Canis lupus familiaris: one gene and its partner. The protein of the gene in region 1 binds, or shares a complex with, the protein of each later gene. Links are inferred from orthologs where the notes say so. Each region holds a gene or a part of one and is shown on either strand. Other genes may lie near its edges. The genes, in order: TCN2 and CD320.

Region 1 (3,801 bases):
ACTGAGCCACTGGGGCTTCCTGATTTTTTCTTCTTTTTATTTTTAGCCTATCTGATTTCCTAGAGTTGCCACAATAACTTACTTAAGAATTCTTAAGGGTTCAGTTAACTTATAAGCAACTTGAGCATCAGTGATTATCGAGGCTGAGGCCCAGAAATGTTCAGGGGAAAGCCGAGGTGAGCTGGGGAAGCCTCACAGCAACCAGGCTGGTCAGGGGAGATGTCCAGAGGTGGGTGGCCACCAGACTTACCTTCTAGGAGCGGGGTGTCAGGGGCTCGGAGGAGCTGCCAGAACTCACGTTCCCCAACTTCTTTCCCCATCACGGAAGTCAGGTAGGGGCCCGACAAGGTGTTCTGCGTTCCATACCTACCAAAGGGAGAGGCAGAGGAAGAAGGGGTGACTTTTGCTTCCACTGACCTGAGGGCAGAAACAGAACTACCCCCACCAGGAAAGCCCTGGCCTGTCCCTCAGGGCCAGAGCTCACCAAATCCTTTCCAGGCCATGGGCCTCACCTCTACCCCTCCTCTACTCCCCCCGACACTGCCCATTCAGGAGACTTTACCCCTCCTCACTGACCAGGACCATGGCTTAGGAAGGGACGCTTATTACATTACTGGCTCAGCAGCTGCCCCCTCTCTGGGAGCTGACATTGTGGGGTGAGGAGCAGAAGCTGCCAGAACCACATTAAGATGCCAATGTCCAATGAGAGAGGGTGAAACCAGCATGCAGAGAAGCAGGGATGTGTAAGACGGAGATATGGTGGTGGCACTGGGTCTCTGGTTCTGGAAGAATCTGGGCTCAGTGGCATTCCCCTTCTCTTATGGCTGGGTGGCTTAATCTTCTCTCTGATTCTACACACCCCATGCTCCCCATTACCAAAGAGGGTTAGAGTTAGGTTTCTGGCCACTGTGGCCAAGAGACTCCTTATTTACAACACCCCCTCCCTGAGCTCCTTGTCTCCAACTGTGCATTTCTCCAAATCACATGGACACTGCTGCCAAAAGGGTCCTCTTAAAAGTCCATGAGTCATGTTCTTCCTCCCTCCAAAAGGCTTATCAATGGTTCTGTCTTAGGGAGGGAAAGTTTCTATCGTTTTAGGAGACAGAAAACCACTCAGGGTCACTTCGTCAAAGGGAAAGTGTTCGGGGGAGAGGGGGTTGTCATAGAGTAGCCCCTGTTGTCCTGTCATTCTCTAACTCTGTGGGTCCATGTGGCTGCTTAGAGTACGTCTGTTTCTATTTCTCTCTCTCTCTCTCTCTTTCTCTCCCCTCTCTTTCTCTCTGGATCTCTCTGCAGTCTACCTTTCTCTGCCGTTCATTTATAGGCCCCTAAATACAACCTTCCTGTCTGGCCTCTGCACCCAGTTCAGGCACCCACCCCCACTGACAAAATTGTTTCCCTGATGTCTTCTCAGAGATCCTGGACTTCTGCATTAGAATGTTAAGTTCCATTTTTCTTCATTTTGAGGACATGATTCAGACATGAATGCCAGCAGGTTCTGCATACTCTCAATGCCTGCTAGACTGGGCCTGCCAAGTTGCTCAGTGTGTGTGGCCATCTGGGACTGTGTTGTATGCACTGCAGACTACTGGGAAGAGAACTGAGGTGGGCTCAGTAGTGAATGGAGTGTTCGGGGCCAGGGAAGGGCCTAAGAAGCCACAGTCACCTGGACAAACTCAGGCTTGACAGTAGCTCAGGCCTCAGCAGCTGAGAGCATCGGGCTCACCCCATCCCATGCCTGGCCATGTACACCTGGCTCCTCAGCAAATAGTCCTTATTTAAATGTTACTCTTTTTACACTTTATATCTAATTTGCAAAGTTGTTTAGGATTTACAGATGTTTGGAGCCAGAAAGAAAAGGGACTTTTAATGGTAACCATAATAATATACATCTAAGTCATAGTATAACAGAAATAACCTAGGTCTGGGAGAATTTTTGTTCTTTAAAGGGGTTTTTGTGTATCTCTGGCCCAAAATTCCCTGGCCCAGACAATTTCAAGACACCAGCTATGGACCCTCTTTGTCCTTTGGGAACTCCAGGTGGGGAACAGAAACTGAGGCCCTCTCAAACTGAGGCCCAGCTTTCTAGAAGAGAAGTCTGGAGTCTGGGTGATCCCGTGGAAGCACTCAACTCCTCTGGTTCAGATTCCCCATTGGTAACACAAGAATTCCACCCATGTTATTTAAGCATGGACATGGCTGGGCATAGAGCAATGCTCTAGAAATCCTCAGCCCCAGACTTGTCGAATCTTGTCAGAGTGAGAAGTAAGTTTAAGGATGTTGTCCAACCTCTACATTCTACAGAGGACTTGCCCAAGGTAATTCGTCACAGGAATGAGGCCAAGATTGCCTGATAATAAAAATTCTTATTCTTTTGAAAGCTAGCCTGTATTGAGCTAACTAAGTGCAGGTGCCACTTCCCACATATGCCATGTCCTCTTTGTGTGCTAATTCCTAGACTCCTTGCATGGGCCCTGTGAGGAGCAGGGCACAGCTGGTGTTCTCACTGGGCTGCAGGTAAATAACTAGCTCTGGGTACCTGGCTGGGGAGTAGTGGAGCTGGGATTCCAATGTGGATGCTCTGCCCCCAGAGCATGTTCTCAGAGCCACCGACAATGCTGGCCCACAGCAGCCCGTTTCCACTACAGTGTGGGCCATTCAGGAATAGAGAAGGTGGGGATGCCTGGGTAGCTCAATGGTTGAGCATCTGCCTTTGGCTCAGGCTGTGATCCCAGGGTCCTGGGATTGAGTCCCATATCAGGCTCCATGTAGGGAGCCTGCTTCTCCCTCTGCCTATGTCTCTGCCTCTCTCTGTGTCTCTCATGAATAAATAAATAAAATCTTAAAAAAAAAAGAAAAGAAAAAGGAGTGAAGACAACAGAGCCTGGGCCAGCACCTCTACTGGGGAACCTCTTCTTCCATCCCCATCCCATCCATGTTCTGTTTCAGGGATGTGGGGTCCGGTGGGGTGAGGACCAAGAGGTAGGGGTCTTACGTGAATCCTCCGAGCTCCTGGGCCTTCTTAAAGACATCTTCCAAGGAGGACCCAGCAGGGACAGAGATGGAGTGTCTGTATGGTGGCAAGACACTGGGGACCTTCAGCATGACGCTGATGACCTCTCGGGTCTGTGAAGGATTCTCCATGGCTGGTTGCAATAGGACTATGCCAGAGAGAGAGGAAGGGGTAGCTAGTGTGAGGGCAGGGAGCCAGGTGCTAGTCATCCTTTCTTCCCTCGAGGACACTGTGGTCCATCCCAGCCAGCACCACCCCCAGCCACCAGCCCAGCCTCCCCTGTCCCTTTGCCCTCATGTGCCAAGGTTGCCCAAGCTTGGGCCCCTCCCTGGTTTTTCTGACTCCAGTATCCCCCTTACCACCTATCTGCCACAGAGCAGCCCAAGGTATCTTTCTTGAACATGCATCTGTTCATATCACCCCACACACACCATTACCACAGAGGGTCTCCCCTTCTTTTCATTCTCCTGCCTGCAACTCCATCTCATTCTTCCATATCCCAGTTTCTAGGAAGACCTTTTCCCCAAATGTCAGTCTTCTATACCTTGGCACCTTTGTTCCTACCGCCCCCTCTCTGTTCTGCCCTTGCTATTGCTCTTATCCTCCAGCAAATCCTACTCACCAACTCAAGTCCCTCTCCCAGATGAAGCCCTGATTCAAGCTGCTAATTGGAACTCATTATGATGTATCAGGACTATCCAAAATGTGTCTCTCCCCATTTACTCATTCAAACATTTCTGCATGGGGTATTACATGAGGGGCTGCAGATTCATGGCCCACCCAGAGCT
Region 2 (4,574 bases), on another chromosome or scaffold:
CAGGCCCCGCCCCACTATCCCCACCCCACCCCCAAGCTACACTCCTCCCCACACACTCAGCCTCCCCACGGCCCCAGGTGCTCGGCCACTCACTGCACTCATCCTCATCGCTGCCGTCGGGGCAGTCCTCGTCACCGTCGCAGCGCAGGGTGAGGGGCACACAGAAGCCACTGGTGCGGCACTGGAAGCTGGCAGGTGGGCACGAGCCTGCAAGATGCACAAGAGTGAGATCCGGGCCCCCTCCCCCCAGGGGCACAGTGCCAACAGACTGCGACCACCGACCACCACCGACCACCACCAGAGGCAGGCCGGGTCCCAGGGCGCTGGATCGACACTGGTGGCCACCAATTTGCTGAGGACCTACTGCGCTGGAGGCTTGGAGGGCAGGTGCAACTGCCATCCCCATGCTGCAGAAGCCACCGAGGAGGGAGGCAAGGCCCAGGGCTGTGGAGCTGGTGGCAGCTTCGTTTGGAACCCAGGTCTCACTGATCCTGGAGTTTTTACCCGGCTCCAGCCTGGATGGTCTCCCCAAGATCGGCGGTTAGACAGACTGGGGTAGGGGCCATCTCTGAAACTGCCCTGGACGGGGTCCATGGTGAGGGTCAGCTGGGCCCACTATAACCCACCTGCTTCGCCAAGGGGAAACTGAGGCTCCGGGCAGCGGACCTGCTGAGTTACCAAGGCTTGTCCACTCACTTCCTAAACTCCTCCCAGATCCGACCACTGTCCCCATCCTGAATGTGCCACCTCCTCACCAGGCCCCACCCCCATCTCCAGCCTCAGAGTCACATCATTCAGTCACTGGCCCTTGCCTCCCCTCTGCTCAGAATCCTGCCCTGGTCCCCTGAGCCTCTCATACCAAATCCCTACTTTGTCTATGTGGCCACAAGGCCTGGCCCAGCCCTGTGGCAAACCCTTCCGCGACCTCACCTCCTCCCTCCTTCTTCCTCTTCATCCGGATCCCTCTGTCCTGGCCTCCCCACTGTTCTCCAAGAGGCTTGGCTTGTTTCTGCCCCAGGGCCTTTGCCTGAGCTGGTCCTTGGCCCAGTGCTCCCTCCTCCCCTCACTCTGCAACTGGTGATTCCTCCTCAGTTTTCAGATCTCAGCTTTCTTCTCGGAAGGGGTCTCATGCACCTCTCAGAGACGCCTAAAGCTCCACCTTCCACTTACAACAACGCTCCTCAAACTGGTATCCACACAGACCGGACACTGCGCGATCAGGGCTGGGACCTCGTGACCCCAAGCCCAGGGTGGTACAGACACAAGTCACACAAGGGTCCAGGCTGTGTCCTGATGAGATCTGAGCCTTCCTGGACCCCAGGAGATGAGGTTTAGGCTACATGCTGATGGGGAGGAGCACAGAAGGGCCTAGAACCTGGGCTGGCAGGAGGGAGTCTGATGGACAGAGGGAAGGAATGGCTTTTAAGGCTCTCCTCCTGGGGGCGGGGAGGGGGGGGCACGTGGCCTGGACCCAACCTAGTGGCCCTCCATTCCATCCTGGTCCTCTTGCCACCTCCACCTTTACTCAGAGGCCTGAGGCTCCAAACCCCCTTCTCCCCACAGCCAGCACCCTCCATGGGCCTCTAGGCTCAATGAGACCTGTGGCCCACACGGTCCCTGAGCTTTTGAAGCCAGGAAGAGCTGCGGCCAACCTGGATCTGGCTTCCTTCCCTGCCCGCGGGGGTCTGGCGGTCTGGGCGCAGCTTCCTCTCCAGGCCTAGCCACTCCCGGCCCTGCCAACATCACACCTCCCTCCCTGGAGTGTACGCTCTTCCTGAAAGTGGGAGCAGAGCACAGCAGACCAGGCCTCACAGGGCTGGGGGGTCAGACAGGAGCTGAAGCGACCAGTGCCTTTCCCTCCCAGCCTCAGTTCCCTCCCCCGTACGAGGAGCACACCAAGAGTCCCTCCCTCAGTGTCCTGAGGACAGAGCCCACTTGTAGACTCTGGTCCTTGGTTAGTGAGTCCTGCCTCCTTAAAGGGCCCAGGAACATTCAGCCTGCGGAGGTGCAAGGGGTGAGGCAGGAGCCCAGGTAAGGCGGCATCATGCAGGAAAGGGGCAAGTGAGTGAACCTGAGCTCAGAGCTGAGAGCCCGGGTCACCTGTGCCTACAGAGGTCGCTCTACCCCGCCCGGCTGCCTCTGGGAACCCCGGAGCGGGCCTCCAAGATCATTAGGCCCAGGGGCAGGTGCCCAAGGGCGGAGTCCCCGGGAGCGAGGGAAGCCTTTCATCCTCCGAGGCCAGCGGAGGGAGGCGCGGAGGCGCGGAGGCGCGGAGACGGGGAGGGCGGGGGCTGGTCGCCCAGAACACTGGGCCGTACCGGGTCCGGGGCGAGCGAGGGCTCGGGAGGCAGCTGCTGCCGGAGGCGCCGGGCGGCCGGCCCTGCAGCTAGAGGTCGGACGCCGGGAGCCCACCACGCGCCTCCCGCCCGCGCCGGGGGAAGGGCGCCCGCAAAGCTGAGCCGCGGCGCGGGGCCGGCAGGCGCAAGCGGCACCCCGCGGCGCCCGGGTCCCCACCAGGCGCCCCGCACGCGCGAGCCCCGGGCCACGTGCCGGGGGAGTGTCCGGGACGGCCCGGCCGCACAGCCAATGGCGAGGGCCGCCGGCGCGGGGCGGGGCGCGGCCGCCCGAGGGGCGCGCGGGGCGCCGGAGCTCACTCACCCGGGGCCTGGGCCAGGAGCCGGAGCGGGACCGGCGTCGGGGCGGCCTCCAGGCCCAGCCCGAAGCCGAGCAGCAGCCGCAGCGCCAGGCCCAGGGCCGCGGGCCGCCGCACTCCGCCCCGCGCCATGCCTCCGCCGCCGCCGCGCCGCCCCCGCCAGGGCTCGGACCACGCGCCCGGGGCCTCGCTTTTATGCCCCCGCGCACGCGCGCTGCGGCCGGGGCGGAGCCCCAGCCCCGAGGAGCGGCGGCGCCCGCGGCCAAGGGTACCGTAAACGTCCGAATACGAGGGGACCCGCAATTTCAGGCTCTACCCGCTTTCTCCGGGGACCGGGAACATCGAAAGGTGTTGGGCCCATTTGAAGGTAGGGACTATGGGGACGTAAGCGAACTGGTCGGTGTCTACGTACAACATCGGATGTGTCGCATGCGTCCCGCAGCAAGTGCGCTCGTCGAATCGTCATATTTAATACGGCGCCCACTCCCCTCAGGCACGCCCCAGCCTCTCCCGCCTCCAGCTTCTCCAATGCCCCGGGGCTCTCCGCTTCGCTAACTTTGATTTAGGGTCTCGATGACCCACTAGAGCGTCCGCTGCAGGACCGCAATGCTGTGGTGTTCGTTGCATCCCCCGTGCCTAAGCACAGCGTCTGCCACAGTAGTAGGCTCTTAAACATTTAGGGAATGAACGAACGAGACACGTCCAGACCTCCCGGGCTTCCATCAAGGTCCTGTCCCTCGCACCTGGAGGCGCTCACCCCCGCCCACTGCCCCATTTAGTCCTCCTCACCGGGATAGGATTCTTCTCAAGGTAGCAAAGGTCCCCTGTGGGCTTTCCCTTCGCGTGCTCAAGCAGTAGGCACGTAAATTACACATGTCCCGCAGGCTTTCTGTCCAATCAGCTGCTCTGTTTTCTTGAGACTAAGTATTTATCTATAGCTCTGCCTTCAGAAGAAGCAACCGGTCTGTCGGCCAGCACAACCCCAGGCGTGTTGGTTCCTTAGTGTTGACAGGCGCGCAAGGATCTATCACCCCGTTTCCCAGGTAGCAACGCTACAGCATCCAGATTTTTCCCACAAGGGGCTCTGTTTGCAGATTGTTGGCATGTTTCGCGATTTGAAAATGTTGAAAGTTACACCTGCTTTTTGAGTGTGTATATATTGTGTGTGTGTTGGGTTTTATTGCTGTTGTTTCAGAATCTCCCAGATTCCCAGGGGAAATGGGTAAGAGGTAAAGGTGTACAGGTGCAGAGGCAGATGGAAAGGTGACAAACAGGACCCGGCATGCATGGGTGGGGAGCATCCCATCTTTGAGGCTCAAAGGTCTCTGAGGTGCAGGGAGAAAAGTTGAAGAAGCCATTGATTTGTAGTAGTTAGGCAGAGTCATCAGCAGCCAGGTTCACACCAGATTTCGGGGAGCTGGCGAGGGTTTCCAGTGCTCCCATTCCTGTTCTGTCCCAAGGTTGTGGCAACACCAATGACCTCACAGGATTGCTCCACCAAGGAGCAGAGATCCTGAAAGCATTCAGAACAGGGCATAGCACACAGAAAAGCTCAGCTGTCAGACCTCTTTCCCTTGTGAAATTTCAAGTCTGGGTCTTAAAATTATTCAGAAACCTTCAATGGCATATCTTGTCTGCATCTGTGGAAGCCCTCAGGGCTGCCTTCCTGGTGACCTCAGGACACCCTGCACAGACTTCCTTTCCCTCCCTATCTCCTTTCTGAATCTGACTCATCCTTTGCTCCAACTAGAGTCGCAACTCCTCCAGAAAGCCTGGCCCGGAAGCTTCAACCCAGGGTTTTCCCCACTGATGAGGTTTTAGCATTGATACCACCCACTCTGGGGCTCCATTATACATCTGGGTCTGGGACCCTTTCCTGCCTTGCTCTGTGCTCTGGAGAACACCCTGATTTTCACACACC

What was found.
Region 2: the proteins of TCN2 (region 1) and CD320 are in contact, whole or in part, in a crystal structure (PDB 7QBF), measured with the Homo sapiens proteins. The link is inferred for Canis lupus familiaris from reciprocal best matches to the Homo sapiens genes TCN2 and CD320. Residues at the interface, in NP_000346.2 of Homo sapiens: Asp70, Leu71, His74, Lys77, Leu78, Gln81, Gln82, Glu91, Asp92, Arg120, Gly121, His122, Lys123, Asp125, Arg126, Val128, Ser129, Lys132, Trp133, Glu136, Arg140, Lys169, Arg170, His172; in NP_057663.1 of Homo sapiens: Thr57, Lys58, Leu66, Cys67, Val68, Pro69, Trp72, Asp75, Arg76, Asp77, Leu78, Asp79, Leu133, Glu136, Cys145, Ile146, Pro147, Thr149, Trp150, Asp153, Gly154, His155, Pro156, Asp157, Cys158, Pro159.

Annotation. Positions count from the first base shown.
Region 1 is NC_049247.1:24,112,431-24,116,231, reverse strand, and holds part of TCN2 (transcobalamin-2), read right to left. Parts: intron 3,162-3,801; coding exon 2,996-3,161; intron 367-2,995; coding exon 251-366; intron 1-250. UniProt on the Homo sapiens protein: Primary vitamin B12-binding and transport protein. Delivers cobalamin to cells.
Region 2 is NC_049241.1:53,295,126-53,299,699, forward strand, and holds the start of CD320 (CD320 antigen), read right to left. Parts: upstream 2,804-4,574; 5' UTR 2,786-2,803; coding exon 2,659-2,785; intron 2,187-2,658; exon of another isoform or gene 1,744-2,186; coding exon of another isoform or gene 1,653-1,743; intron 208-1,652; coding exon 94-207; intron 1-93. UniProt on the Homo sapiens protein: Receptor for transcobalamin saturated with cobalamin (TCbl). Plays an important role in cobalamin uptake. Plasma membrane protein that is expressed on follicular dendritic cells (FDC) and mediates interaction with germinal center B cells.